Linked DNA regions of Oryctolagus cuniculus. The protein of the gene in region 1 purifies or fractionates together with the protein of each later gene. This does not show direct contact. Links are inferred from orthologs where the notes say so. Each region holds a gene or a part of one and is shown in the gene's direction. Other genes may lie near its edges. The genes, in order: VCP, UBXN10, PSMA6, BAG6, BTRC, RPL13 and CAV1.

Evidence for each region.
Region 2: the proteins of VCP (region 1) and UBXN10 purify together in Homo sapiens (affinity purification with western blotting; 3 studies listed by BioGRID and IntAct, with this or other methods). This does not show direct contact. The link is inferred for Oryctolagus cuniculus from reciprocal best matches to the Homo sapiens genes VCP and UBXN10.
Region 3: the proteins of VCP (region 1) and PSMA6 fractionate together in Homo sapiens (co-fractionation; 3 studies listed by BioGRID, with this or other methods). This does not show direct contact. The link is inferred for Oryctolagus cuniculus from reciprocal best matches to the Homo sapiens genes VCP and PSMA6.
Region 4: the proteins of VCP (region 1) and BAG6 purify together in Homo sapiens (affinity purification with western blotting; 4 studies listed by BioGRID, with this or other methods). This does not show direct contact. The link is inferred for Oryctolagus cuniculus from reciprocal best matches to the Homo sapiens genes VCP and BAG6.
Region 5: the proteins of VCP (region 1) and BTRC purify together in Homo sapiens (affinity purification with western blotting; 4 studies listed by BioGRID). This does not show direct contact. The link is inferred for Oryctolagus cuniculus from reciprocal best matches to the Homo sapiens genes VCP and BTRC.
Region 6: the proteins of VCP (region 1) and RPL13 purify together in Homo sapiens (affinity purification with mass spectrometry, with the first as the bait; 3 studies listed by BioGRID). This does not show direct contact. The link is inferred for Oryctolagus cuniculus from reciprocal best matches to the Homo sapiens genes VCP and RPL13.
Region 7: the proteins of VCP (region 1) and CAV1 purify together in Homo sapiens (affinity purification with mass spectrometry; 5 studies listed by BioGRID and IntAct, with this or other methods). This does not show direct contact. The link is inferred for Oryctolagus cuniculus from reciprocal best matches to the Homo sapiens genes VCP and CAV1.

Annotation. Positions count from the first base shown.
Region 1 is NC_091432.1:198,025,251-198,028,750, reverse strand, and holds part of VCP (transitional endoplasmic reticulum ATPase), read left to right. Parts: intron 1-1,635; coding exon 1,636-1,738; intron 1,739-2,976; coding exon 2,977-3,110; intron 3,111-3,187; coding exon 3,188-3,323; intron 3,324-3,500. UniProt on the Homo sapiens protein: Necessary for the fragmentation of Golgi stacks during mitosis and for their reassembly after mitosis. Involved in the formation of the transitional endoplasmic reticulum (tER).
Region 2 is NC_091438.1:150,508,855-150,513,057, reverse strand, and holds the start of UBXN10 (UBX domain-containing protein 10), read left to right. Parts: upstream 1-1,403; 5' UTR 1,404-1,541; intron 1,542-1,719; coding exon of another isoform or gene 1,720-1,786; exon of another isoform or gene 1,787-1,877; intron 1,878-4,203. Other genes in the region: PLA2G2C (putative inactive group IIC secretory phospholipase A2), read right to left, coding at 1,720-1,786. UniProt on the Homo sapiens protein: VCP/p97-binding protein required for ciliogenesis. Acts as a tethering factor that facilitates recruitment of VCP/p97 to the intraflagellar transport complex B (IFT-B) in cilia.
Region 3 is NC_091443.1:40,254,564-40,258,636, reverse strand, and holds the start of PSMA6 (proteasome subunit alpha type-6), read left to right. Parts: upstream 1-1,273; 5' UTR 1,274-1,278; coding exon 1,279-1,408; intron 1,409-4,073. UniProt on the Homo sapiens protein: Component of the 20S core proteasome complex involved in the proteolytic degradation of most intracellular proteins. This complex plays numerous essential roles within the cell by associating with different regulatory particles.
Region 4 is NC_091436.1:138,966,708-138,970,207, forward strand, and holds part of BAG6 (large proline-rich protein BAG6), read left to right. Parts: coding exon 1-37; intron 38-198; coding exon 199-273; intron 274-823; coding exon 824-1,062; intron 1,063-1,513; coding exon 1,514-1,643; intron 1,644-2,110; coding exon 2,111-2,308; intron 2,309-2,486; coding exon 2,487-2,739; intron 2,740-3,091; coding exon 3,092-3,169; intron 3,170-3,279; coding exon 3,280-3,387; intron 3,388-3,500. UniProt on the Homo sapiens protein: ATP-independent molecular chaperone preventing the aggregation of misfolded and hydrophobic patches-containing proteins.
Region 5 is NC_091446.1:28,392,199-28,395,698, reverse strand, and holds part of BTRC (F-box/WD repeat-containing protein 1A), read left to right. Parts: intron 1-835; coding exon 836-1,022; intron 1,023-3,500. UniProt on the Homo sapiens protein: Substrate recognition component of a SCF (SKP1-CUL1-F-box protein) E3 ubiquitin-protein ligase complex which mediates the ubiquitination and subsequent proteasomal degradation of target proteins. Recognizes and binds to phosphorylated target proteins.
Region 6 is NC_091449.1:69,233,504-69,237,648, forward strand, and holds RPL13 (large ribosomal subunit protein eL13), read left to right. Parts: upstream 1-1,404; 5' UTR 1,405-1,538; intron 1,539-1,779; 5' UTR 1,780-1,788; coding exon 1,789-1,892; intron 1,893-2,201; coding exon 2,202-2,343; intron 2,344-2,393; exon of another isoform or gene 2,394-2,474; intron 2,475-2,530; coding exon 2,531-2,704; intron 2,705-3,116; coding exon 3,117-3,173; intron 3,174-3,443; coding exon 3,444-3,602; 3' UTR 3,603-3,645; downstream 3,646-4,145. UniProt on the Homo sapiens protein: Component of the ribosome, a large ribonucleoprotein complex responsible for the synthesis of proteins in the cell.
Region 7 is NC_091434.1:151,971,465-151,975,462, forward strand, and holds the start of CAV1 (caveolin-1), read left to right. Parts: upstream 1-1,198; 5' UTR 1,199-1,493; coding exon 1,494-1,523; intron 1,524-1,936; exon of another isoform or gene 1,937-2,200; intron 2,201-2,621; exon of another isoform or gene 2,622-2,768; intron 2,769-2,878; coding exon 2,879-3,043; intron 3,044-3,998. UniProt on the Homo sapiens protein: May act as a scaffolding protein within caveolar membranes. Forms a stable heterooligomeric complex with CAV2 that targets to lipid rafts and drives caveolae formation. Mediates the recruitment of CAVIN proteins (CAVIN1/2/3/4) to the caveolae.

The DNA of each region.
Region 1 (3,500 bases):
ATTTGAAAGGCAGAAAGATTTTACATTTCTGATTAACTCCCCAAATGCATCATCTAAGGTTGGGCCAGGCTAAAGCCAGAAACCTAGAACTCAATCTAGGTCTCCCACGAGAGTGTCAGCCACCCAAGTAGTTGAGCCTCCAAGTACTGCTGCCTCCAAGGGTGCACATTAGCAGGTTGCTGGAAGTGGAGCTGGGATTCCAGCCCATGCACTTTGAAATGGGATATAGGCATCCCAAGGGGTGTCTTAATTGCTGTACCAAAGGCTTATTGTTCTTTTTTTTTTTTTTGAAGTTTATTATTTATGTATTTGAAAGTCAGAATTGCAGAGAGAGATCTTCATCCGCTGGTTCACTCCCTAAATGGCTGCAGTGGGCAGGGCTGGGCAAGGATGAAGCCAGATCTAGGAGCTTTATCCAGGTCTCCCACATGGGTGCAAGGGTCCAAACTGCTTGGGCGATCTTCTGTTGCCTTCCCAGGTGTGTCAGTAGGGAGCTGGATCAGAAGTAGAGCAGCTGGGACTTGAACCAGTACCCATATGCAGACAATGGCTTAACCCACTGCACCATAGCGCCAGCCCCCAAGGCTTTTTTTTTTTTTTTTTTTTTTTTTTTTTTTTTTTGTACAAATTTCATAAGTACAACTGTACAACTTTAGGGATATAGTTATTCTTCCCACCATCCACCATACCCACCTTCCCACCCCTCCTCCTCCTCCTCCTCCTCCTCCTCGCTCTCCCCTTGCCAGTCCCATTCTCCGTTAAGATTGATTTTCAATTAACTTTGTACACAGAATATTTCAACAATTTGCACACACACATACAAACTGAGAACTAGTTTTACAGTTAACTCTGATATACAACTCACTGAGGACAGAGGTCCTGCATGGGAAGTTAGTGCACAGTGACTCTTGTTGTTGATTTAACTATTAACAGTGCTTATGTATGATGTCATTGACTACCCGAGGCTCTTGACATGAGCTACCTAGGCTATGGAAGCCTTTTGAGTTCACAAACTTTGTCAATATTTGGACAAGGCCACAAGCAAAGTGAAAGTTCTCCCTTTAGAGTAGAGTACATCCTTCTTTGATGGCCACTTCTTTCTGCTGGGGTCTCAGTAACAGAGATCCTTCATGTAGAACGTTTTTTGCCACAATGTCTTACCTTTCTATGAAAGGCTCATTCTTAATGGTGTCAGAATTGAATTCTTTTTTTTTTTTTTTTAAGATTTATTTATTTATTTGAAAGTCAGAATTACACAGAGAGAGAGAGGTCTTCCATCCGATGGTTCACTCCCCAATTAGCTGCAACGGCCAGAGCTGTGCCAATCGGAAGCCAGGAGCTTCCTCCGGGTCTCCCATGCAGGTGCAGGGGCCCAACGACTTGGGCCGTTTTCCACTGCTATCCCAGGCCACAGCAGAGAGCTGGATCAGAAGTGGATCAGCTGGGACTTGAACCGGCACCCATATGGGATGCTGGCACTGCAGGCCAGGGCGTTAACCTGCTGCGCCACAGTGCCGGCTCCCAGAATTGAATTCTAATTCTCACCCTTTCTAGAGTCCTAGTCAAGCCAGTTTGAGGTGAGTGGCGTTGAGAAGTCAGGAGTCTAATTCTAATTGCTCTTATGTTGGTCCCCAGCCTCCTCGGGGAATCCTGCTCTATGGACCTCCTGGAACAGGGAAGACCCTGATTGCCCGAGCTGTGGCAAATGAAACTGGGGCCTTCTTCTTCCTGATCAATGGTAAGAGATTTGATTTGTCTTGTGTCTGTCTAGAACTAGCCCTGGCCTGAACAGCTCATTGATAACATCCATTTGCAGCCATGCTCTCATGCACACTTTAGCATCTTTTGCTGGGGTACATTATAGACAGGTCAGCAACAAGTGGGAGATTTTTTTTTTTTTTTTTTTTTTGACAGGCAGAGTGGACAGTGAGAGAGAGAGACAGAGAGAAAGGTCTTCCTTTTGCCGCTGGTTCACCCTCCAATGGCCGCCGCGGCCGGCACGCTGTGGCTGGCGCACTGCACTGATCCGATGGCAGGAGCCAGGTGCTTCTGGTCTCCCATGGGGTGCAGGGCCCAAGCACTTGGGCCATCCTCCACTGCACTCCCTGGCCACAGCAGAGAGCTGGCCTGGAAGAGGGGCAACCGGGACAGAATCCGGCGCCCCGACTGGGACTAGAACCCGGTGTGCCAGCGCCGCAGGCGGAGGATTAGCCTAGTGAGCCGTGGCGCCGGCCAAGTGGGAGATATTTTATACTGATACTTTTTGTCTTTTCCCCTCAACCTAGAAAAAGTTGTGTACATTTTTGTAAGGAATATTTATGTATTTAAAAGAGTTACAGAGAGAGGGAGAGACAGAGATCTTCCATCCGCTGGTTTACTCCCCAAATGACCACAAGGGCCCAGTCTGAGCCAGGCTGAAGCCAGGAGTCAGGAACTTCATCTGGGTCTCCTATGTGGGTGGCATTTAGGCCATCTTCCACTGCTTTTCTAGGCCTTTAGCAGGGAGCTAGATTGGCAGTAGAGCTGCTGAGACGTGAACTGGTTCCCATATGGGATGCTTGTGTGGCATGGTGATAGCTTTACCTGCTACTCCACAATGCCAGCCCCAAGATATTTAAGGGGGAGCAAGTTGGAATTAAAAAAAAAAATAAAATAAAGGTATGATGCCTATTTGAGAGGCTTAGGGAAGATGGGCCAACACCACCTGTCTCTTAGAGAATGTTAAGCTGTAGAGATCCAGCTTGTGTGATGTCTCCTGCTCTTGCCAGAGACCTTTACACTTTGAAAAAAATGTGCTTGGTTTCTCTACCCCAGCTTTGTGGCTGTCCTGGGTGATAGCTGGCATTGGTGAGAAGGTAGACGGAAGTTAGTATCTTCTCATCCAGGACCTATCCTAGGGCAGATAAGGTAACTGATTTATTTTGGGACTGGGAAAGGTTGTAATTTTATCATTGTCTTCATTTTGTTTTCTTTCAGGTCCTGAGATCATGAGCAAGTTGGCTGGTGAGTCTGAGAGCAATCTTCGTAAAGCCTTTGAGGAAGCGGAGAAGAATGCTCCTGCCATCATCTTCATTGATGAACTGGATGCCATTGCTCCCAAAAGAGAGAAAGTAGGAGTTTACCCGAGGGAATGGTGGGAGGTTGAAAGGTCCTAACATTGCTTCTGACCAGACATTTGTCCTGCCAGACTCACGGGGAGGTGGAGCGGCGTATTGTATCACAATTGTTGACCCTTATGGATGGACTAAAGCAGAGGGCACACGTGATAGTTATGGCAGCAACCAACAGACCCAACAGCATTGACCCGGCACTGCGACGGTTTGGTAAGGACTCCAGCTTCCTTCACCCTTTCCTTGCTCATAGAGAGATTATAGATCTATTGAGTTTAATCTCTATCCTTCATCTGAGTCACCTGATTTGATTATGAGGATTCCTTGAAGTTTTTTTGCAGTGGTAGGGCACAAGGGTCCTTGTATCCTGTATCCTGTCTAGAGTGACCA
Region 2 (4,203 bases), on another chromosome or scaffold:
CAGCGCTACCCCAAGCCCAGAGCCGCTTCCCTGCGTTGGACAGAACCACCACCACGGAACCCATCCCGGCTGTTCCAGCCCCAAAAGAACTTCCCGATTGCTCAGTCACTTGGCACATGCTCACGTCCAGCCTGTGCCTGCGCCTCTAGCCTTGGCTGAAACTGTATTAAAAATAATCTGACTCGTGGCGCCTTATCAGCACACAGCCTATCTTCCCAGGCCAACTGCAAACGCCTTGCAGGAAGACCAGCGGGATTGGGTGCCTACGGCAACCCTCTGTCTGGGGCAGACCAGAGAGCAAATATTTTGCCAACAAGGCCAGACAATAAAGGCCTAGTTTTTAATCTTCTAGTAACACAATTGCTAGATTAATTTGTCTGCATACTCCAGGAGTCCAGAACACAACCGGCACACAGCAGTCCTGTGAGGAGCCTGCTGGAAACGGTCTTAATTTCAGTTGAGAAGAAAGGCTTCATTCATTAGGCTGGGGTTGAAGAGGGGATGGGAATGAAGGGGAGGAGACTGGCGGGAGGGGGAGAGAACCTTCCAGGTGCTGATGTGAGGCTGTGGCACAGAGACGGCTCTGAGCACCAAGCAGGGGCGGTCAACCTTGCGCCCGCCCAGTGGGCAGCCCCTTCCCATGGCACAGGGAGGAGGGGGGACACCAGCAGGCAGCTTCGTAGGTTCCATGGCAAAGCTGGGCAAGTGGGTTTCTGTCTTCTCTCTGCACCGAGCACTGAGGTTCTTCTCCAAGACCGGGGACAGGAGGGAGACTTCAGGAAGGAGGTCAAGGTTTGACAGCTTTTGAGCCGAAAGGAGAGAGAACTAGATGGGGGTGTGGGTGTGGCGGGTATTGCCAGGCTTGCTGTGTAGGGCGGACAGTCCGGCTGGCCTGCAGATCACCCCCCCACCCTCGTCTACTGCACCAGCGTTAGTGACCAGTCAAGACTGGGACGCGAAGCTAGCAGGACAAGGGAAGGGGCAGGCTTGCCAAGAGGAGGGCTAAGGTGTGGACCACCAGACTCTCAACAGACCAGGCGGCTGGAAGTCCCAAAGATGGCTCAAGCGCATGAGTTGTAGTTTGGACACCAGGGGAGGTGTGGGTGCCACTGACCACAAGGTCCAGCATGTGGCCTCAGGGGAGGGGTGGGAGGCATGGGCTGAAAGGGGTACCCTAAATGCAGATGCTGCAGCCGGCAGGAATCAACCAGTCCCACAGCCTCATTTCAAAACTGGAGACCCTGAGATGGAATCCTACCCTACCCCTTGTCCAGAGCTGTCTTTTCCTCAAACCCACCCGCCCCAGGGGATGGAAATAGATGCAGGCCAAGGAGGACCAGGAGAGGTGCTGGCTGTGACAGGGAGCCTGCCTGTGGCCCTTGCAGATCCAGCTCCCCCAACCCGAGCCGGCCAAGGTTCCGGTCAGGCGCTCAGGCCGGAAGCACGTGCCCCCACCCACCTCGCAGCGGTTGCCCGGGAGACGGGACTGTTTACCAGCGGGACCCAGCGGGGCGCAGGCCAGCGGCGGATGGAGCGGTGAGGTGAGTGCGGGCCGCCTGCCCCTAGGGGTTCCTGGCCTGGAAGAGGAGAGGAGAGGCCAGTTCCGGAGTTCACAGGTGTCCCCAGGGGGCAGCCTCCCCAGACCCGGCCCCAGGAGTGTCCCGGGACACAGGACAGTGGCTGCGCCCCAAGGGCAAAGCAAGCTGGGCCGGAGCTCACCGTGGCCGAGATGGGATGCTGCCCGGGCGCTGCAGAAGCCGAGGGACCCCCGGGGCTGTTGGGCCATGCCCGCCTGGCGGGGCTGTCCAGATGGGGCCACAGACCCAGGGAGAGGAAGGGACGGCCCAGCTCCGGAAGCAGATGGCGCCGCCCCCAGACCTGCGCTCAGTCACCCAGGTCCCTGCCCACGTCCCCGAGTTTTCCTTGCCCCACCCCCAGCCATTCCTTCTGTTCCTGGAGCTTAGTCCCTTCTCTGGCTGCCGGTACTTGGGAAGATTTCTCTCGGCTGCCTCTTACCTTGGGACTGGCCCGTTCCCTCCCCAGCCCCTTGGTCACTTGTGGCTCAGCGCTGGGGCCAGCAGAGGCCAGCGTGGTTTCTTATTCGTCTGGGCTGGGTCCCAAAGTTTTCCCTGAGCTGGGTCAACACCACACCCTGTTGATTCCTCTGCGTGTTTTGGGGACGCGAGCGGGGCTGGTTGGCAGGGGGAAGGTATTAACAGATAAACATTTAAAAGACCAATTCGAATGTATGCATCTTGGTGTACCACAGCAGATGGCGTGTGGGTGGCTATATTTTTACTGCCTTTGCTGTAGGGTTCCTGTCGGGCTGCGAATGGAACAGGTTGATCTGACCCTGCTGTGGTGGCCGGGGGCAGCCTCGGGACGCTGACCCCTGGCTTCGGCTTCTGCCTTCGAGTTTGCTTTGTGGTTTTTGGTGATGGATCTTGAGGGTCGAGCACCTGCCCTTCGGGCAGCTTCCTGGATACAGTTCTCTGTGTTTGTTTGCTGCCTCCTAGCAAGCCCGTGGGGTGCAGCGATTGTGTCTGAGCAAACAGGCCACTTGCCTGTGCGGCGGGCGGTTGATGGATGTGCCGCCACCTACTCCGCCACCGCCACCAGGATCTTCTCGGATCGCTCTGTGTTTGAGCCTGTGCCAGGCCTGGAGGTGGTGAAGTGAGCGGAGTGGGGGTGGTGAGGGCGGCCGGCAGAGGTCGGGTGTGAGTATGAAGGCAGCGGTTGGCCTGGATCCCCAGGCACCTGTCCCCCCCCCACCTCCTTGGGGGGACAGTCGAGGTAACAGATGGTCCCTGGGGAGGAGGCAGGGGGTTGCGAAAGCAGGTTGGATGGAACTGTTTCACCTGAGGGACACATTGGTCTGTAAATAACAGTGAGTGGGTTCCTGGGAATTAGTCATAACTGAGCTTGCTCTCCGCGATGGCTCACAGCCATGTTCTCCTAGGACCAGGGTGGCTCGAACATGACTCCCCCTGAGCACGGATAATTATACAGGAGCGAGAGGTACAGGAGTGCATGCACACACTCAAGTGTTGCTGTTAAAAATAACCCGGCAGAGGGGCCTGTGCGAACGCATGGTGGAAGTTGTAAGGAAGAGGTTTCTAAGTTACCAAACTTACTGACAGTTAAGGCTTCCCGAGGCGGGTGTGGGTGTTGGGAGCCAAGCCTGTGATGGATCTGGAAAAGCTGTGGCAAATTAATGGCCACTGCAGGCTGCAGAAGGGGGGCTGCTTTACCAGAGAGCTGAGCCGAAGCCAACGGCTGCCTACAGTTACGGCTGCCTCCTGCCATCCGGGGCCAAAGTTGCAGAGCCACTTCACTGGATCCCCAGGGGAGGGAGCCGTCCCTCACAGCTGATGGGCAAAGGCATTGGGTTAACATGGAGCTGGGCAGGCTTGTTGGGTGCCAGAGCTTTGCTAAGGAGCAGGCTCCTCTACCACCAGCAGCCAGATTGGGTGTGAAAGACGAGGGAGAGGTGGGAAATGAGAGTAGGGAAGGAATCGGGTTGTGAGTAGACGCGAGTAAATGAGGGACCGAGGGGAGCTTTGTGCGTAGATTTGGAGCTGAGCAGGCGGGACACTGCGTGGTGATGGGTTTCGGTTTTGGTGGGGAGGATGAGGGTAGTCCCTAAAATTAGGCCACGGTGGTACCATGATGCCTAGTTCAGGGTTGTGTGATACCAGGATCTTGGCAGAGGGGGCTTGGAGGTAGAATAGAGAAGTGGGCCACTCGGAGATGGTTTCTCGCTGGGTGCAGAGGACGTAGGACTAAATGTACAAGTCCTGGGTTCTGTGTCCGGCTCTGCCACCTGCTAGCTGTGTGGTCCGCCGCCGGGCACCCTGCCCTCCTGGAGAGTCAGCCCGTGTCCAGATCCCTCCGCAGAGCTGGCTGGGACAGGGTTTGACAAATGCACAGCCCGTGGTCCAAATCTGGGCCCGGCACCTGGCTGTGTATGGCTCATGAGACAAGAATAGCTCTTACATTTTTAAATCCTTGGGGAGGGGGGAACAAAAGAACGATATTCTGTGACATAGGAAAATTACATGAAATTCAAATTTGGAGGCTATAAATGAAGTTTTAGGGAGACAGCCACACCCCGTTCTCTGTGCTGGGTACGGCTGCTGCGGCACCGCAGGGAGTGGGCAGGCCATGCGGCCTGCGCAGCCACACACAGCCAGGCTCCGGCTT
Region 3 (4,073 bases), on another chromosome or scaffold:
GAAGTATGAGGGGCAGAGAGAAATGGGGCTGCTATATAGCCCTGAAGCCCAGCAGCCCCATGGGAGGCAGGAGGAGAACGTGAATAAAAAGGGTAGTCCAAAGCACTTGGAAAGGGCAGAAAGGAGAGAAGAGCCGCTTCTCCCGGCCCCATCCCAGCGAGTGCCCAGCGCTCTGCTTGTCTGATTACATAAGCGCAGGGAATTCCTTTCAGGGGTCTTCTTAAGAGGAAGCCATAGAAAATAGCAAGACGGCTGGTGCTGTGGCATAGCAAAGTCACCACCTGCAATGTTGGCATCCCATATGGGCACCAGTTTGAGTCCCAGCTGCTCTACTTCCGATCCAGCTCCCTGCTGATGATCTGGGAAGGCTGTAGAGGATGGCTCACGTGCTTGGGTCCCTGGATCCATGTGGGAGATGCTGAAGAAGATCCTGGCTCCTGGCTTCAACCTGGCCCAGCACTGGCCATTGCAGCCATTTGGGGAATAAACCTGTAAGTGGAATCTCTCTGTGTGTTGCTCCCTTTCTCTCTCTCTCTCTCTAACTGTGCTTTCCAAATAAATAAATAAATAAATCTTAGAAAGAAAAGGAAAGAATGGGATGAAACAAAATACGAGACAAGAACACAGATGAGTGAATGTCATAAATCTTGAAAAATGCATTTTCTCTTGTCATCTCCATTTTATGGTGTTTGAAGATTTCCTGAAGTTCTCTCTACCCAAGTTTGCTCTTTGTTGGCAGTATTTGATCTAATGAATGCTTCCAGGGACTCTACTGCAGACACAACTCGCTCTCAACTGAGAATTGAAATAAGCAGGAAGACAATTATCTAGTCACTAATGGCAGCTAAAGATAGTTTGTTTTGCTACCAGAGGGCTCTCAGCAGTATACTCTTGTCGAATAGATTGAGTTGTTAAGATAACCATGATAATTTGTTATAAATAGCAATAATGTGAAGGTTTTTTGGTAGCTGCTGACAAAAATGAGGATGTAGAGAGTTCGTTTCAACCACATTAAAATTAGTTCCCAACTCATCTCCTTGGAGCTATTTAAAATCCAGCCCAAGAAGCAAATATTTGGCTTCAATTTCTAATATGTTAGAGGAATACATTCATTTTAAAAAGAGGCCAGATCAGATTGCCTCATCTGTCTCAGCCAGACTAGAACATTATTAAGTCTTGAGTTCAGTTCACATCTAAATAAAGGTCATTATTTAGGGAGGTTTCTTGTGCTTTCTGTGACTGCATCAGAACGGAATGTCAGTGTCCTGAGAGGTGCCAATGGAATTCCCTGACAGTTCTGTCCATTTGGCTCTGCTGGAGCAGAACGGTGTCCTGACAGGATGGGCTAGAGTTGCCAGTGCCATGAGACAGGTGCCGCTGGAGAGGGCTATGGCAAGTCTTCAGAAAAGTAAGTCCCTCCGCCAGACTGGGAACCTGAGGTGTGCTGTGTTGCTAGTTCTTTGAACTACATGGTTCTTGTGTTCCTCTTTTCAGTGACCATGCCCTAAAATCCACAGCTGTGTTTTCTTCTGTTCTCTGCTGCATAGCTGAGGAGTATATTGCTATCAGGTTGTTACACTATATATGCCCACTTTCCTGTACGTATATTCCAATTTTTAAAAAAAGGATCATTCCCCGTGAACTCTTTTGAAACACGCTTCTTTTACAACTGACAGAAAATGAAAACTTTTCCTTGTACTTACAGTCTTCTACCACTCCCTCATGTGCTCTATTATGGAATTGTAAAAATGTAAATTCACAAAAAGAAGCAACTTTTCCCCCCCACTTAAGTTAGGGCATTACTATATACCTACCGAAAATATTACTTGCCTCACATAGCCGTACACTCAAAACCTTCCACTCAAGGCTTACTTGTATTCAGGAGGAAATTTGTGTTCCAGGAAGCTGTCACCCTGATAATAGCTATTGACTCAAATTGAGGGTCATGTCCTTTGGCACTTAGTCCTGTTCTGGCAGGCGTGGTCAAATCCTTGATGAAATGGGTCTTTTCCAAGTCCAGCCCTCTGATCTCTGCTCCTAAAGAAATAAACTCTGCTCAGACCATGTTTTTGAAGAGAAAGTGTAAGGAAAAATTAATTGCTGCTTTACCTAGATAAAGAGTTTTTTTTTTTTTATTTTTTAAAGCAAGTCATGTGATTCCTTTTGTTTATGGACACGCCAAAGAAAGTTTATTTGAGGAAATCACTATTGAACACTGTGTGCCTTTCAGATGTCAGTAGGCTATCTGAGAGTACCTTAAAACATCTGTGGAAAAATGGAATTAAAAGATGTTTGTTTTAGTGCAAAAATATTTTGAAATCCATGCATAGTTTTTTTTTTATTTTATTTTATTTTTTTTAAGATTTATTTATTTGAAAGGCAGAGTTAGAAGGAGAGTCAGAGAGAGAGCCATCTTCCATCCTCTGCTTCGTTCCCCAAATGGCCACAACAGCCATGCTGGGCCAGGCTAAAGCCAGAAGACTGGAACTCGATCCGGGTCTCCCATGTTGGTACAGGGGCCCAAGTACTTGGGCCATCGTCCACTGCTTTCCCAGGTGCATTAGCAGGGAGCTGGATTGGGAGTGGAGAAGCCAGGACTTGAATAGGTGCCCATATGGGATGCTGGCATTTCAGGCAGGGCTTAACCCACTGTACCACAGTGCTAGGCCCCTGAAATTTTTTCATAATACATATTTTCCATGAACTTATTTCTCCTACCTGGTCTCAACTATTTTCTAACCTTACACTGAGGATTTTTTGGTCCCTATGAGATGGGAAAACTAGATATTTTGATTATTTAAATATTACTTTAAAAATTCTGGTTTCAGAATTTCAAACTTGCAAGTTCCTCATTTTGACCAGTCTTCTTACTTGCCCCATTCCTTCAGCCCAGCCACCAGTTCCTTTGCCTGCGCTTTGGCCTATCCATTCCTGAGGGACACAGACTCTATTGCTCACCCCCATCTGGCTTTACCTGCCTTCCTTCCTACCTCACCCACTCCCCAAGGCGTCCGTATGAAAGGGTAGCTCCTGTAGCAGTTAGCAAATTCTTGTATTCCCTTAACCTCCTGTGAAGTCTACCTTTTCAATTCCAGACCTAATTTTGAGAAGCATAGACCATTCTACTTTTCTACTCTGATATACCATAGTTGTGCTATTAGTCAGGAAACTGTAACTATTGAAATTTCACTCCCATTTGACGGTCCTCTTTGTCGTCTGACATTGAATTCCTAGTCATTTCCTGAAGGCACTCTCCTGGTCTTTACAACCTGATCTTGAGAAACAGCAAATCTGGGGCTTCCGTTTCCTTTTCTGTGAAATGAGGAAGATGGCCTGTCTCAGTACTCCTCCAAATTTAATAGGCATAGAATTATCTGGGAATCTCACTTCAAATGCTACTTCCTTTTTTATTTTTTTAAGATTTATTTATTTATTTATTTATTTGAAAAGCAGAGTGACAGGGAGACAGAGAAAGAGACATATTCCATCTGCAGGTTCACTTCCCAAAGGCCCACAACAGCCAAGTCAAGCCAGGCTGAAGCCAGGTGTCTGGAACTGCATTCTGGAGTCCCACAGGGTTGTCAGAGTCCCAGGTCCTTGGGCCATCTTCCACTGCCTCCCCAAGCACACTAGCAGGGAGCTGGATCAGAAGCAGAGCAGCCAATATGGGATGACAGCATCAAAAGAAGTGGCTTAACCTTTTGTGCCACGAGGCTGGGCCCTCCGGTGCCACTTCCGATTCAGGTCTGGCATCCCCCGTGATGCCAGTACCTCAGACCATTATGTGAGTACTAAAGGCCTCCATGAGCTCTAAGATTATTTTAAAAACTAATACTAAAACAACACTCATGATTCCAAGTCCTGAGTCACAACCTTCCCACATTCACTCACAGCAGACTTAACCAGAAACTGAAACACCACCTTTTATTAGGCTCTTCAGCAGTGTTTGCCCTTTCCAATGACTTTCCTATCCTCAATCTTCTCTCCCTTTTTCCTCCCCCTAGGTTACTTGTTCCTCCTGCCTCCATTCTGTCCCTTTTTGCTGAGTTGGGATCTTCTCGCAGTTCATTCCT
Region 4 (3,500 bases), on another chromosome or scaffold:
GGATGTTCACATCAACATGGAACAGGCCCCAATTCAGGTATTGAGGGGCCTGGGAGGGTCAGAGAAGGGGATCTGGGAGAAGGAGGCCATGAAGTGGGGGAGGACCTGGCTGAGGAGATGACTGGGACCTGGTGTAGTAGGCAGTGGAGCTCATGGCTTCACCTCGGACCTGTCCTGATGATTCCTCTTTTATCGTAGAGTGAGCCCCGGGTACGGCTGGTGATGGCCCAGCACATGATCCGGGATATACAGACCTTACTGTCCCGGATGGAGGTAAGTGGGCAAGTCTGGCTAGAGTCTCTTCAGGGGCATAACTGGCCACAACCACAGGACTCTGCCTTCCTAATCTGGTCGCCTCTCTCTGCAATCTTTGTTCTTTGGGGTAGAAAAAGTATCTTTTTGAGACCGCTTTGACCCTGCCAGATCATTTGGTGGCTGGTATTGGGGACTTTGTTTCAGTCTTGTCAGGTAACTCTCACAGCATATCTTTTGAATTGAAGAAGGATCCCACACTTCTTAATTTTTTCCTTGATGTTCTAAGTTTGTCAGTTTGTGTTACGGTTGCAGCCTGTGGCCTTTCTCTCTCTCGTTGCAGAGATTAGGAAACTGCAGCCTCTGCTCTCTGTGATTCACTCACCAAGCCTACAGATGCTTGTGTGCAGCCTGATTGTCCCAGTGCTGCCCTGGCTGTTAGAGGCAGACCAGAGCCCTGCCTTCAGGGCGCCTCGTCAGGGTATTCTCCCCATTCAGACTCCTTTGGCCTGAGTGGTTGTCTACAGTAGTCTCATCCTGCTTTTGGTATTCTGACTCGCCCCACCTTCAGTGTCGAGGAGGGCCCCAAGCACAGCACAGTCAGCCGCCCCCACAAACGCCGCCTGTGGCCCAGGAGCCGGGAACCTTGAGCTCTCAGACAGCAGAAGCGGTTGAAAATGACTCGCCAGCTCGGGAGCCCATGGAGGCAGAAGAAGTGGAGGAGCGCACCCCAGTCCAGAACCCAGAACTCACCCCGCCTGGCCCAGCCCCAACGGGCCCAGCACCTGCCACGGAGACAAACACACCCAAGTGAGAGGAGGAGGGAACTCTAGGGGTTTGGGAGATCCCGAATGAAGTGTGAGGACCAGGAAAGGTACAGTGGCAAGGGAAGCATTGCTTGGGCCTTACCTGTAGGGTTAGCATTGAGTGTAGGTAAGTGAAGTTAGGATTGATAGCTGAGCAAAAAGTACTGCTCTCTCCTGGGCAAGGGAATCCAGGTGGTAAGTCCTGAGCCTGATAAAATTTTCTGCCCTGAGTTCACACGGATCCCATCTCTCTCGTAGAGTCAGTTTCTTGTGCTGGGGAGGGCGGGAGCAATTCCGTGTCTTCCCCCAGTCCTCCCATGGGTAGGAGTAAAGAACAGACTGTGCTGGTCTGTGAAGGGATCAGGCCCAGGGCAGACGGGCGGCTGCGATCCCTGGTGCCTGGGAGGTCAGGAGTTGCAGAAAGCCTCGGCTCACTGCCCTTGGGTTGCCCGCAGCCACCCTTCCCCCGCGGAGTATGTCGAGGTGCTGCAGGAGCTGCAGCGGCTGGAGAGCCGCCTCCAGCCTTTCCTGCAGCGCTACTACGAGGTCCTGGGCTCCGCCGGCAGCACGGACTACAACAACAACGTGAGTCCCTCCATGGCCCCAACCCCCCGGAAGCAGAACAGGGCAGACTGAGATACAGATAACACTCTCCCCTCGCACTAAAAACAAAACACCCAAAAAACTAGAAACAACCCAAAAACAAGAAAAAAACCCAAATTCTCTTTAGACGTGTAAATGGTCCTTTCCTTCCTTCGGGGGAAGGTGACTTTTTGCGGTATCTACTGCTCTCTCTTTCTTGCACTTCTGAGTTAATGATTTAGGAAGTTTATAAAGTAAGGAGATTCATGGGTGATGCCCTGTTGGTTCATTGTAGAGTTTATTTTAGCAGGGAGTTCTTTATGGGTGTGTAGTAGCATTTGTTTCCAAGGATACAAGCAAAGGTTTAGAGGGCATGATAACTTTGAGAAGGCACAGCTTACTGCTTTAGTTAATGAGGAGGATTCCAGCTTGATACTTTCTGCTTTTCTGTGTTTGACCCCGGAGCACAGCATGAGGGCCGAGAAGAGGACCAGCGGTTGATTAACTTGGTGGGGGAGAGTCTGCGACTGTTGGGCAACACCTTTGTGGCTCTGTCTGATCTGCGTTGCAATCTGGCCTGTGCACCCCCACGCCACCTGCATGTGGTCCGACCCATGTCTCACTACACTACCCCCATGGTGCTCCAGCAGGCAGCCATTCCCATCCAGGTGCGTCACGAAGAGCGGGTCGGAGAGAATGGAGGGTGTAGGTGGAGTGATTAGGAAGGGAGGAGACTTTGGAAACGTAGTGATGAAGATGAGGAAGACTTCAGGGGTATCTCATAAGGTGATCTGTTCTAGGTGTTTGTGTGTTTCTTATTCCCGCCTGTCCCCCTGTTTCTTCCAGATTAATGTGGGGACTACTGTGACCATGACGGGGAATGGGACTCGTCCCCCCCCAGCTCCTAATGCAGAGGCACCTTCCTCTGGTCCCGGGCAGGCCTCGTCCCTGGCTCCGTCTTCTACCACTGTCGAGTCGTCCACGGAGGGGGCTTCCACTCCAGGGCCAGCTCCCCAGCCAGCCACCAGTCACCCGAGGGTCATCCGAATTTCCCACCAGAGCGTGGAACCCGTAGTCATGATGCACATGAACATTCAAGGTGAGTTAGAGTCGGTCGCTGGCAGAGAAGAGCAGCATGGTGAAGGAGGTAGGCTTGGCGCTGAGGTATGAGGTGCGAGGCTGGGGAAGGGAGAGGCTGCTGCTGGCAGCGCTGGCAGAGGAGCCAGAGCAGCAGCTTTAAGCGTCGTGTGTGGGGCGGGGCAGGATGGGTGCTGTGTCCTTGGTGATTTGTTGGTGTGGTGAAGGGAGCACCTGCTCCCTGTCTTGATGGAGAGAAAGGCAGGTGTTCCGGCTGGGGAAGTGGGAGCCTGCAGGACAGCTGATCTCAGGAGGATGCCGTTAGGGCTTGGCCCCGCCTGTCTCAGGGCCACTCTCTCTGTCTCCCTGCCCAGATTCTGGCACACAGACCGGTGGTGTTCCGAGTGCTCCCACTGGCCCCCTAGGACCCCCTGGTCATGGCCAGACCCTGGGTAAGAGTGAGGGCATCAGAGCAGGTTGAGCTCTGGGTAGAGAAGGGGTAGGGCTGAATGGGTGGGTTAAAGGGGTCCAGGTTCAAGGTTACATCAGACCCGCCCCCCAGGCTCCACCCTCATCCAGCTGCCCTCCCTGCCCCCTGAGTTCATGCACGCCGTCGCCCACCAGATCACTCATCAGGCCATGGTGGCAGCTGTTGCCTCCGCGGCAGCAGGTAATGACCTGGAAGGGGAGGCCTGGGAGGTGGGGCATAGTCCATGGTGGCGGGTGCTGTCAGCTAGTGGCCAAGGGCCCAGCCCTCAGCTCTCTCCGGTCTCTCTCTTCTGC
Region 5 (3,500 bases), on another chromosome or scaffold:
GGAGCTTTTCCACTGGGACCCCAGTGCAGATTTGAGTGGCTGTCAGGTTTACCCAAGCCAAGATCTACTCTTTACTCTTTTCCTCTGCACATCCTGCAGAATATCCTCTGAGATGCTTACCAAGTTGTCTATTGGTCTGGATTTTTTTTTCCACTTTTGGTCAACTGTCATTTAGGTTTTATAGCAGCAGCTATTCTCACACAGCTTTTTTTTTTTTTTTTTCTTTTTTGAAACATCTGAAATGAAGCATACCTCACTTTCTTTCCTCTTGGGGTATTCCTATACCATTCTGTATTTCCTTCTTCTCCTCCTTTCTGCATGCCCCAAATTCTATAACCCAGCACATTCTGCCTTAGTGTTTCTCCCCCAGTACATTTAAAGGATATTTCTTCTACTGAATAGCTTTGGAATTGCAGCAGTAATAGAAACAGAATGAGAAATGGACCTAATATAGAGATTTGGGGGGGTCTGAATCAGAGTTTGAGATGCCATCCACAGAACATCCCCTAGTGCTGAAATCCATATAGATAGATGTGAATTGTTTTCTGGAATCCTTTTTATTTTTAATGTCTTGGAGGGGTTGCTGGTTGTTAGCTTTAACTTCCTTATCTAAAGGAAGATGGAAAATACTGTTCATTTCTGTAACCTTATGGAAAAATTATTGACACTCATTTTACCCAAGCCTCTGTTTGAAAGAGCAACTGGACTACGCTGGGGACAATGATATGCCTTCATAATAGAACAAATGCTATTCTGTTTTAAAGGACCTTTTGTGAAAAATCATTCACTATCCCCTTTATTCTTTCTCTTTGCCTTCTCCCCTCCCCACTGAAAGCACGGGGTTTGGATCATATTGCTGAGAACATTCTGTCATACCTGGATGCCAAATCGTTATGTGCTGCTGAACTTGTGTGCAAGGAATGGTACCGAGTGACGTCTGATGGCATGTTATGGAAGAAACTCATCGAGAGAATGGTCAGGACAGATTCTCTGTGGAGAGGCCTGGCAGAACGAAGAGGGTGGTGAGCCTTTTAACTTGCTTAACAATCAGAGAGTGTTAGGGCCCAGCCGTCTTGCCACTGGAAGGTTGTTGGGAACAGTGAACCAATCACTTACCACTTACTACAGTGATTTTACTGATTTGCAGCTAAAAATAGAAAATAGTTGCTCATGCACTCAGCGGTTTTTCTTCTGACCCGTCACTCATAAAATGACATCACAATGTGTTAATATTGCTTGGCAAAAAATAATAGAACACTGACCAGCCATCCTGTTTCTCTAGGCAGAAATTAGTATCTTGCAGAAGGGCTGATAAGTAATTTATAAGGCAAGCAAATGAGTTTGAATCACATGGAAGCCATCAGATCAAGCTTTCCTCTGTAAAAACCCAGGACAAGTGAGCATTTTGTTTTTTCAGATTTCTTGCCTTTAGCCCATTCCTCCATTTTTTTTACCTTTGTAACAAAAGAGTATATTTTATGTCCAACTAAAATAAGAACTCTAGCTGTCAGAAAGAATAAAAAAATTAGTATAAATCATTATTTCTTCTTAAGATTTGGGTTTTCTCGTGATTTCTTACTTCATTTTGAATTCACTAAGGTTATTATACTCATATGCATGGATCTAAAAAAAATTTTTACCAAGATACACTTAACTTTAATTCTGTTTTCTGTAAACTTTGAAGTACCCTCATGTAGTTAGAGCCTAAGAGATTTCACCAGTTTTGTTGTTGTTCTCTTAACCATTCATTAGAACTTCTGGTAACCTCTTTCTTTATATAATTTTCTTCCTAAGTATGTTTCTAGAATGGTACTATATGAAGTCAAGCATGAGTCATTCATTAAGAAAGGTGACATAATAAATGTTTTAGCTGATAGAAAGACTGATAATAGGTATATGCATATTCATTTTTGCCCTTCCAACTTAATTTTTAAGTTGTTTATCTGGATCATAAAGAGATCTAAAACAGTTAAGAATGGAGAATACTTTTTAAAATACGCGCTTTGGATTAGAATTTTCACCAAAATCTAACTATCCCCCTTTTTTTCTGTCTTTGAAATTCATTAACACGTGATATATATATATGTGTGTGTGTGTGTGTGTGTGTGTGTGTGTGTATATACCAACTGCTTCAGAGATTTCAATCATTCTAGCAATTAAAAAGACTTAAAAATTTTTCCTCTCAATGAAGGGAATGAAACACCAAAGAGATCTTTGTCTATGTAATAATTGTATAAAAAAGATGTGGCATTGTGGCATAGCGGGTGACGCTGCCATCTGTGACACCGTCATCTCATATGGGTGCAGATTTGTATCCTGGCTGCACCATTTCCAATCCAGCTCCCTGCTAATGGCCTGGGAAAAGCAGCAGAAGATGGCCCAAGTGGTTGGGCCCCTGCCACTCATGTGGGAGACCGGAGAATGCTCCTGGCAGACAGCAGATGATGGCCCAAGAACCTGGGTTCTTGCCAACCAAGAGGGAGATCCAGATGGGAGTTCTGGGATCCTGGCTTCAGCTTGGCTCAGCCCTACCATTGTGGCCATCTGGGGAGTGAACCAGCGGATGGAAGACCTCTCTCTCCCCGCCTCCCACTCCCCCCATCTTTCTCTGTAATTTGAACTTTAAAATAAATAATCTTTTTTTAAATTTATTTGAGAGACGGAGTGACCAAGAGTGAGGGGAGGGGATCTTCTGTCCTCAAGTTCACTTCCTGAATGTCTGCAACAGCTAGGGCTGGGCCAGGCTGAAGCCAGGAGCCCAGAACTCCCATCTAGATCTCCCTCATAGAGAACCCAGGTTCTTGGGCCATCATCCGCTGCCTCTCAGGAACATTAGTAGAAAGCTGGATCAGAAGAATAATAGTCAGGTCTTTCCACTGGGATCTCACTCGCGGAGATCCTTCATTTAGGTCTTTTTTTTTTGCCAGAGTTTCTTGGCTTTCCATGCCTGAAATACTCTCATGGGCTTTTCAGCTGGATCACCTAGCACTCTGATATGGAATGCCAGTATCACAAGCTGTGGCTTAACTGTCTGTACCACAACACCCTTCCAGAAAATAAACTCTTAAGGTGTATAACAAAGAAACTAAGTATACAGTTAGGTACAGAAAATAAATGCTTTACATGTATAACAAAGAAACTAAGTATATAGTTAGGTCCAGAAAATAAACTCTTAATGTGTATAATAAAGAAACGAAGTATACAGTTAGGTGACATTCAGAGTCCATTTTGCTTAAGTACCTGCACTAGCCTTAGAAATACAGCAAGGGCCGGCGCTGCGGCTCACTAGGCTAATCCTCCGCCTGCGGCGCCGGCACACCGGGTTCTAGTCCTAGTCGGGGTGCCGGATTCTGTCCCGGTTACCCCTCTTCCAGGCCAGCTCTTTGCTGTGGCCCGGGAGTGCAGTGGAGGATGGCCCAAGTGCTTGGGCCCTGCACCCCATGGGAGACCAGGATAAGTACCTGGCTCCTGCCATCGGATCAGCACGGTGCGCCGGCCAC
Region 6 (4,145 bases), on another chromosome or scaffold:
AGAACCAGCTAGGCGAGGTGGACGTGCGGGTTAGGGCAGCTTTGCCTAAAGACAAGTCGGAGCTGGCGTGGGAGGTGTTGGAGGTGGGCAGGGTCTGTGCCCGGAGCATGGAGAGGGTCTGGGGATGACGCGGAGAGGGCCAGCATTCATGCGGCCAGCGTCTCCCGTGGGCGCGCGGGGTGAGTGGGTGCGCGGCCAGCGTCTCCCTTGAGTGTGAGGCGTGAGTGGGTGCCCGGCCAGTGTCTCCCGTGGGTGCGCGGGGTGAGTGGGTGCGCGGCCAGCGTCTCCCGTGAGTGTGAGGCGTGAGTGGGCGCCCGGCCAGCGTCTCCCGTGGGCGCGCGGGGTGAGTGGGTGCGCGGCCAGCGTCTCCCGTGAGTGTGAGGCGTGAGTGGGCGCCCGGCCAGTGTCTCCCGTGGGTGCGCGGCCAGCGTCTCCCGTGGGTGTGAGGGGTGAGTGGGCACCCGGCCAGCATTCATGCGGCCAGCGTCTCCCGCGGGTGTGAGGGGTGAGTGGACGCCCGGCCAGCGTCTCCCGCGGGTGTGAGGGGTGAGTGGGCGCCCGGCCAGTGTCTCCCGTGGGTGCGCGGGGTGAGTGGGCGCCCCGCCAGCATTCATGCGGCCAGCGTCTCCCGTGGGCGCGCGGGGTGAGTGGGTGTGTGGCCAGCGTCTCCCGTGGGTGTGAGGGGTGAGTGGGCGCCCGGCCAGCATTCATGCGGCCAGCGTCTCCCGCGGGTGTGAGGGGTGAGTGGGCGCCCGGCCAGCATTCATGCGGCCAGCGTCTCCCGTGGGTGCGCGCAAGCCGCGCGAAGGGCAGATGGCAGGTTTTCTCCTCACGGTGTCCGTGAAGGCCGCGGCAGGCCCTCGGCCACGCTGGCTCCCCCAGGCCACCTGGAAGCGGGCCGAGCACTCTGCCTCGACTGCGGCCCTGACGTGACTCCTGCAGCCGCTCCACCAAGACGCGCCCGGCACCCAGAACCGGGCGGCGGGTCCCGGCTCCTCCTCAGCCCAGCTCGCGCCGCGGCCATGTGGCGCGGGCCAGCGGACGGGCGGTCTCTCGGCCTCTCACTCACACGGAGGGGCCACCGCCTACCGCAGGGCCAGGTTCGAACTCCCGAGCGCCCTGCGCGCCCTTTCCCGGCGCTCCGCTCCACTCCACGCCGCGGGGCGGCGGCAAGAACGCGCCGGAGGCCGCCTGGCGCGCACCGGGGGCTGCGGCACTCGCGGGGTGAGGGCGACGCCCCCGGAAAGCGCTCCGCGGAGGGGAGAGGGGCGCGGCGGGGAGCGAGGCCCGGGGGCGTCCACGGCTTCGCGACCGCGCTGGCCGAACGCGCCCCGACCCAGCTCCCCTCCGCCTCGGACGCCGGGCCGTGGAGGCGGAACTCTCCGGGACGCGGCGGCGCCGGCCCTACGTCACTTCCGCATCGCCTGGCTCTGATTGGTCAGGACGCTGCGGCGCCTCTGATTGGCCGGGCCTACCACCATCCCAGGGGGCTTCGCGGCGCCGCGTCCTTTCCGCTTCTCTGTTCTCGCGCGGAGGAGGTGAGTGTCCTTTCCCCGTCGCCATCGAACGGCCTCCGGCTGTATCGGGCTCCATCCACCGCCATCGGCCTGGTGCCGCCGCCGCCGCGGCCATGGAGGCAGCTAGCGCCTCAGACGGCGTCCGGCCGGGCCCAGCGGCTGGGCGGGGAGGGCGCGTTCGGGCGGCCGGGGCCGGGGCGCGGGCGGTCGGGCGGCGGCCCGGCCCCGGCGCCTCACGCTCGGCCCTCGCCCCTCGCGGCAGCACGCAGCCATGGCGCCCAGCCGGAATGGCATGATCCTGAAGCCGCACTTCCACAAGGACTGGCAGCGGCGCGTGGCCACCTGGTTCAACCAGCCGGCGCGCAAGATCCGCAGGTGAGCGCCGGGCCGGGCCGGGTCGGGGTCGGGGTCGGGGGCCGGGGTCGGGGCCGGGCCGGGGCCGGGGCCGGGGTCGGGGCCGGGGCCGGGGCCGGGGCCGGGGTCGGGGCCGGGGCCGGGGCCGGGGCCGGGGTCGGGGCCGGGCCGGGGCCGGGGCCGGGGCCGGGGCCGGGGTCGGGGCCGGGGCCGGGGTGGGGGCCGGGGGCCGGGGCCGGGGCCGGGGCCGGGGTCGGGGCCGGGGTCGGGGTCGGGGCCGGGGCGCCGCCCGCGCGCCCGCCGTGACGCCGCCGCCGCCCTCCCTCGCAGGCGCAAGGCCCGGCAAGCGCGAGCCCGCCGCATCGCCCCGCGGCCCGCGGCGGGGCCCATCCGGCCCATCGTGCGCTGCCCGACCGTGCGGTACCACACGAAGGTGCGCGCCGGCCGCGGCTTCAGCCTGGAGGAGCTGCGGGTGAGTGGGGCGCGGGGCGCGGCGGGCGGGGCGGCCCGGGCTCGGGCGCGTGATGACAGTCTCCGGAATCGCTGCATCGCCTGATGAAAGCGCGTTCGAACCCTTTTACCTCTGAGCGCCGAGCCGGGCCCCGGGGGCCTGGCGGCGCGGGGCTCCGCGGGGCTCCATGCGTGCGTGTCTGGGGCAGGTGGCCGGCATCCACAAGAAGGTGGCGCGGACTATCGGCATCTCCGTGGACCCGCGGCGGCGGAACAAGTCCACCGAGTCCCTGCAGGCCAACGTGCAGCGGCTGAAGGAGTACCGCTCCAAGCTGGTCCTCTTCCCGCGGAAGCCCTCGGCCCCCAAGAAAGGCGACAGCTCGGTGAGTGGCGGGTCAGCGTGTGCGGGGCAGGGCAGCGGTCGCACTCCTCCATGCCTGCCCTCGGGCGATGCTTGCCCCTCGCGGAAGCCATGGACTAATGTGGGGGATGGAGGGGCTTGACGTAGCTTCTGGGGAACCGCTTGAACCTCTGCTGTGTTTCTGGAAAATCCTGTAGTGGGGGTTGGCCGTGTCCCTCTATGTGGCCTTCCTGGGGGTTGGACCGGGGGTGGGATTGCTGTCTCCATCCTGGGTTTGCTGGCAGGTGGCTCACGTGTAGGACAAGACAAGCTCCACTTGGGCCTGTCTTAGCAGCAGAGTTGAACAACCCACAACCATGCGGCAGCACAGGGTGCTGGGGTGTGTGATGGGGTCTTTTGCACAAGGCGGCTGACCGGGTTCTCGTCACACACAGGCTGAAGAACTGAAGTTGGCCACCCAGCTGACAGGACCAGTCATGCCCATCCGGAACGTGAGTAGAGGCGCACCATGCACACTGCGCTCCCAGGGCGGCAGGGAAGATCACCCCTGAGTCTGAACCCTGGGGACCCCTTCCTGAGCCTGGGGGGGGGAGTTCCCTGTGGAGATGCCTGGCCCCTCCTCGCCATGCTGAGTCAGTCAGGGTGAGGCTCTGAATCCCAGCAAGGACTCTGGTCTGATCCTCATCTGCCTCTGTCTCCATCAGTTTTGGCCCCTGCTGTCCACTTGGTGGGACTGGGTCTGACCTCATCTCCTTTTCCAGGTCTTCAAGAAGGAGAAAGCCAGAGTTATTACAGAGGAGGAGAAGAACTTCAAGGCCTTTGCCAGTCTCCGCATGGCCCGCGCCAATGCCCGCCTCTTCGGCATCCGGGCAAAAAGAGCCAAGGAAGCTGCGGAACAGGACGTTGAGAAGAAAAAATGAGGCCTCGCTGGGGACTTGCACAATAAATCCAGTCTGCCCGGTCTCCTGTGGTGTGTCTCCAGTAAGCAGTGGCCTGAGTGCGCCAGGTCCTGTCTGGGTGTGGGGTCGTGAAAGGCAGCCCAGACCAGTGGGCTGTGCCTTTGGCTGCCCTGTGAGACCACCGCAGTCTCCAGGATGGGTGGTCCCTCGAGCCTGCCTCAGTGTGATCTGCGCCTGTGAGCATGGAGCGTCCCTGCCCGGCCCCTAGGGGGAGCCTGAGGCTCAGCTCCTCGGCTCAGGTGCTTTGTGGCCCTGTGGCTCCTGCGTTGGTCCCCAGGAGGTGCTCACACACGCCCAGCCTCGCCCTGCCTGGACGTCAGCCTGCTGTCACAGTTGCTGTGGCCATGGCTCCTGCAGGGAGACAGCGTTGTTACCTGAACTCATCTAGAAATGATGATGCGTGTGATGCCCATCACCTGCCACTGTTACAGGTACCCAGGGTGCACCTGGTGGATTTGGGGCGCTGTGACCCGCTGCTGCGTGGGAGTCAGGGGTAATGCTTAG
Region 7 (3,998 bases), on another chromosome or scaffold:
TCTGAATCTCTTAAGGATGGAGGTAGCACAATTTCAGGCATACCAGCATCCATTACTGTGTGACATTTCCAGGCCTGTCCTAGCTGAAACAGATATCTTTGTTTTTCAAAAGGTGTTGCTTTTTGGCTATCAACAGTAGCCTGCCCTTCCCAGCTTCTATTTGAATCTCCTCTCCAAGCACAAGATCACCTCTTTCAGAGCTCCATCCTCCAGTGCCCTCTCCTCTTCTCCCCCTACCCGATTCCCCTTTCTAAACAGCCAGTTTTTAAATTTAGTCTGTGCCCCTTCAGGTGTACCCCCAGCCTTGCAGTTAGTTTCAAATAATTTGACTTCAGACTCCATTCGGGTCTTTTCCATTTTTGGATTGTGAATTTCCTGACCTATCATAGCCACGTATGTAATAAAATGATTTACTGTAGTAACATGATTACTGTTCAATCCACCTTGTGCTGCTTTATGATTCGATAAAGAAAGAAGCTCCAAATTCAGGAACCAAAAAAATACTTTGATTGCAAACACATTTTTTAAGTCTGTTCCATTAGTCAAAATTAATTTTCCCCTCATAGCCAAGCACATTTAAAAAATATACTCTCCAGTCATAAACCTAAAGCTCAACTCAATTTTTTTCAGTAATTGTAAATATTTAATGTACGATATAAATAAGGTATGACCTGTTTGCGTGAATTTCTTTTGTTCCGGAAAAGATCGGTAGTACGATTATGTAAAAGTTAAACATCTCAGTTTCTCATTTCAAACCGTCCGGGAGACTTTTCAGGAGCGAGTGGGAAACGTGCACTTCTGCGCGCCTGCTTCTCCGAGTTTCCATCCACACTGACAAGATGTCACCAAAAGTATGCCACACACAGGCAGGCACCGCGCAGTCTCTCCTTGCGTCTGAATGTGAAAAGTCCCTAAACCGGAGCCGGTTTTCATCCGTTCTTCCGCGACTCCGGGCTTCCGAGGCCGTGGTCGAACGTGAGCAGTGGGGGCAAACTGGACTTGCGACCGCGCAGACATCTTTCTGACGCCTGGGTTGCCCATACCGGGCATCTGTCCCTGCCTGCTCCTGGGCTCGCTCCACCCCTGCCGGGTGATGCACAGCAAAAACACGCGCTCTTCCCAGGACGCCTCTGGCGGGTGCATCGGGCTGGGCAAACGTGGCCCTAGGTGGCAGGTCTCTGCCCAAGCAGCGGAGCCCGGGGGCAAGGCTGGCGCGCTCGCCCTCGGTTCCCCCTGGCACTCCCCGCCCGCCGCTGCCTGAACCTCGGGGATGTGCCTGGACCCGGCGCCGCGCACGTCCCGGCCAACTGCGCGCCCAACAAGCCCCTGGCGCGCGGCCAGGAGGCTCCCTCCCAGCCACCGCCCGCCCCCCCGCCAGCGCCTTTTTTTTTTTTTTTCCTCCCCCGGTACAATACAAGATCTTCCTTCCTCAGTTCTCTTAAATCACAGCCCGGGGAAACCTCCTCAGAGGCTCCGTGCAGCCACGCGCCAGCATGTCTGGGGGCAAATACGTAGACTCCGAGGTAGGCTATGGTGGGGACGCGCCGCCCGGGGCGCGCGGGGAGTGCCTGCCCCTACCCGCTCCCACTCCACAAATATTCCGGCTGCTTTCCTCCTTGTCCCGGCCCCGTCTCCACTTGGGAGCACTCCTGTCGCGTTGGCACCTTGGAGGAATGGGCCTGGGCGGGGAGGTGAAGAGAAGCCAGGAATGTTTTCTAGGTTCCTGCTGGGGAGGAGGCCAGAGGAGCCCGGGAGATAGAGGGTGGGATGGGGGGGGGGGGGACAAGGGTCGCAATCCTCAAGTTTGGTTTGCCCCTTAGGGGCACGTATTCTACATGCGTGCGCCCTTGTTGCGAGACCCTCCACGGAGCTGAAGCGCTGGAGGCTGGGGTGGGGGCGGGCGTCCTTTATCCGCAGTCCTGGGGACAGTCCCCGCGAGTCCCCGCCAGGAGCCTGGCGCAGCTGCCCCGCGGCGGCGCGCGTGTGTTTGCTCTCTCCAAAGTTCTTGGGCCGTCTCAAGGACCCTTGCCGCCTCTCGGCGCCTGTCGGGGGTGCTCCGCGAGGGGTGGGCCTCCTCCTAACCCCAACCACCACCCGCGCTGGGTGCGGACACCCGGTTTTCCCAAACGCAGCGGTTGCTCCGCCACCCGCCGGCAGCCTGGGAACGACCTGAGGGTGGTGGGTCCGGGCGGTGGTGCAGGTGACAACTACTTCCAGGGGGATCTGGCACTTGGTGCGGACCAGAGGTGGGGGGGGGGGGCGTGGGAGCTTGTGACAACCACCTCCCCACGCAGGTCGGGGGGATCCGAGGAGGGACAAGCGAACGCCAAGGAAAGGGGTGCAGGGGACGCGGGCAGGTGCGAGAGGGACGCGGAGCAGCAGCAAAAAAACGGGGACGTTCCGTGGCTCTGGAGGTTCCCGCCGTATCTTCAGGATTAAGCAGGAAGGGGTTATGGGGCCGGGAGGTGACAGGGGTCCGGGGCGGAGAAACGGAGCAGGTGCAGGCCTCTGGGTATAGGGGCCGGAGCGCAGCCTTAGATCGGCCCCCTCCCCGCAGTGGTCCCCGCGGGGCGACGCGGGCCAGGCGTGCGCGGGGCGGGGGCCCGGGCTGGCCGCGCCGCGGGGTTTGCCCTGACCCCTGGCGGCGGGCGGGGGAGGCCGGCGCTCCCTGCCTGGTACCGAGGGGTGTGGTGTCGTCTCCGCGATCCTCTTAAAAAGCTGGCGGCGCGCAGGAGTTTTCTGTGCGCTGAGCGGCCGCTGTCGACGAGGTCAGTTGGATTTCGAACTCCAAGTGCCCCTGGTCGCTAGGCTGCCTTCTTCTGACCGCTTGCTTTCCTTTTTGAATTATTCTTCCCACTGCGGTTGTCACCCTCCCCAGGGACATCTCTACACTGTTCCCATCCGGGAACAGGGCAACATCTACAAGCCCAACAACAAGGCCATGGCCGACGAGGTGAACGAGAAGCAAGTGTACGACGCGCACACCAAGGAAATCGACCTGGTCAACCGCGACCCCAAGCATCTCAACGACGACGTGGTCAAGGTAGGCTGAGGCGCCGGGTGAGCCAGGGCCGTCGCGGGAGGGGGCGCCGTCGCCGTCGCAGCCACACAGCACCCCTCGGGCCAGGCGCTGGGCACCCTCCAGGGACTGCGACGCCACGCACGGTGTCCCGGGGGCTCCATGTGCCTGGGCTCCTGCTGTGGCCAGAAATGTCACCTCGCCCTTCTCCCCTGCTGCTGGTGGGTTCAGCTGCACTTTAGCTAACGCGAGTTCTGTAGGAGTTTGTACTTTGCAGCCTGGCAAATGAACCTCCTCAGCAAGAGACCAGCCGGCACTCCTTGGGAGGCTTGTGTTCCACTCTCAGGCTGAAGGTCCAGTGACAGGTCCCGTTATACAGGGAATTAAGGCAGTCAGATAATTGAGGTGGGTCTTGTGCCAGGGTGAGTCAGAACACAGAACCGTTATGTTTCCCTGGCTAAAATCATCAGAAGTGGTTTTCCTTAAAATAATTAAATCAGTGCAAATGCTGAGGACGCAGGATACAACCAGGAAACTGAGCAGATTTACAAAGCCAAAAATAATGTGTCCCCTCTTGATTTCCCTTCTACACTCCTCTGGTTGGTGTAGCAAGCTGCTTCTGTAATGTCTCCCTACGCCAGGTTGGATATCCTTGTTCTACTTTCAGGATGTGCTTGGTGAGATTAAAAGCAGATGGACCAACTGGATCATTGCATACATTTAAGTCTGACTCTGTCAGTTTTTTTTTTAATTATTATTATGTTATTCAACTTTGACCCTTTTGGTAAATTTAGTTGGAGGAATTTATTATCTGAAGCCATCTGGGTTGGGAAATCATGGGCTTGAGCCATCCTTGGCAGGGGGTTCTCCTTGAGGATTGGGGAAGGCCAAGGAGACTCCCAGCTCCCAGAATGAGTGTGTGAAGACCCAGTTCTGCAAGACCCCAGGCAGGTGAGCAGTTCCCACCCACCTGGCTTCC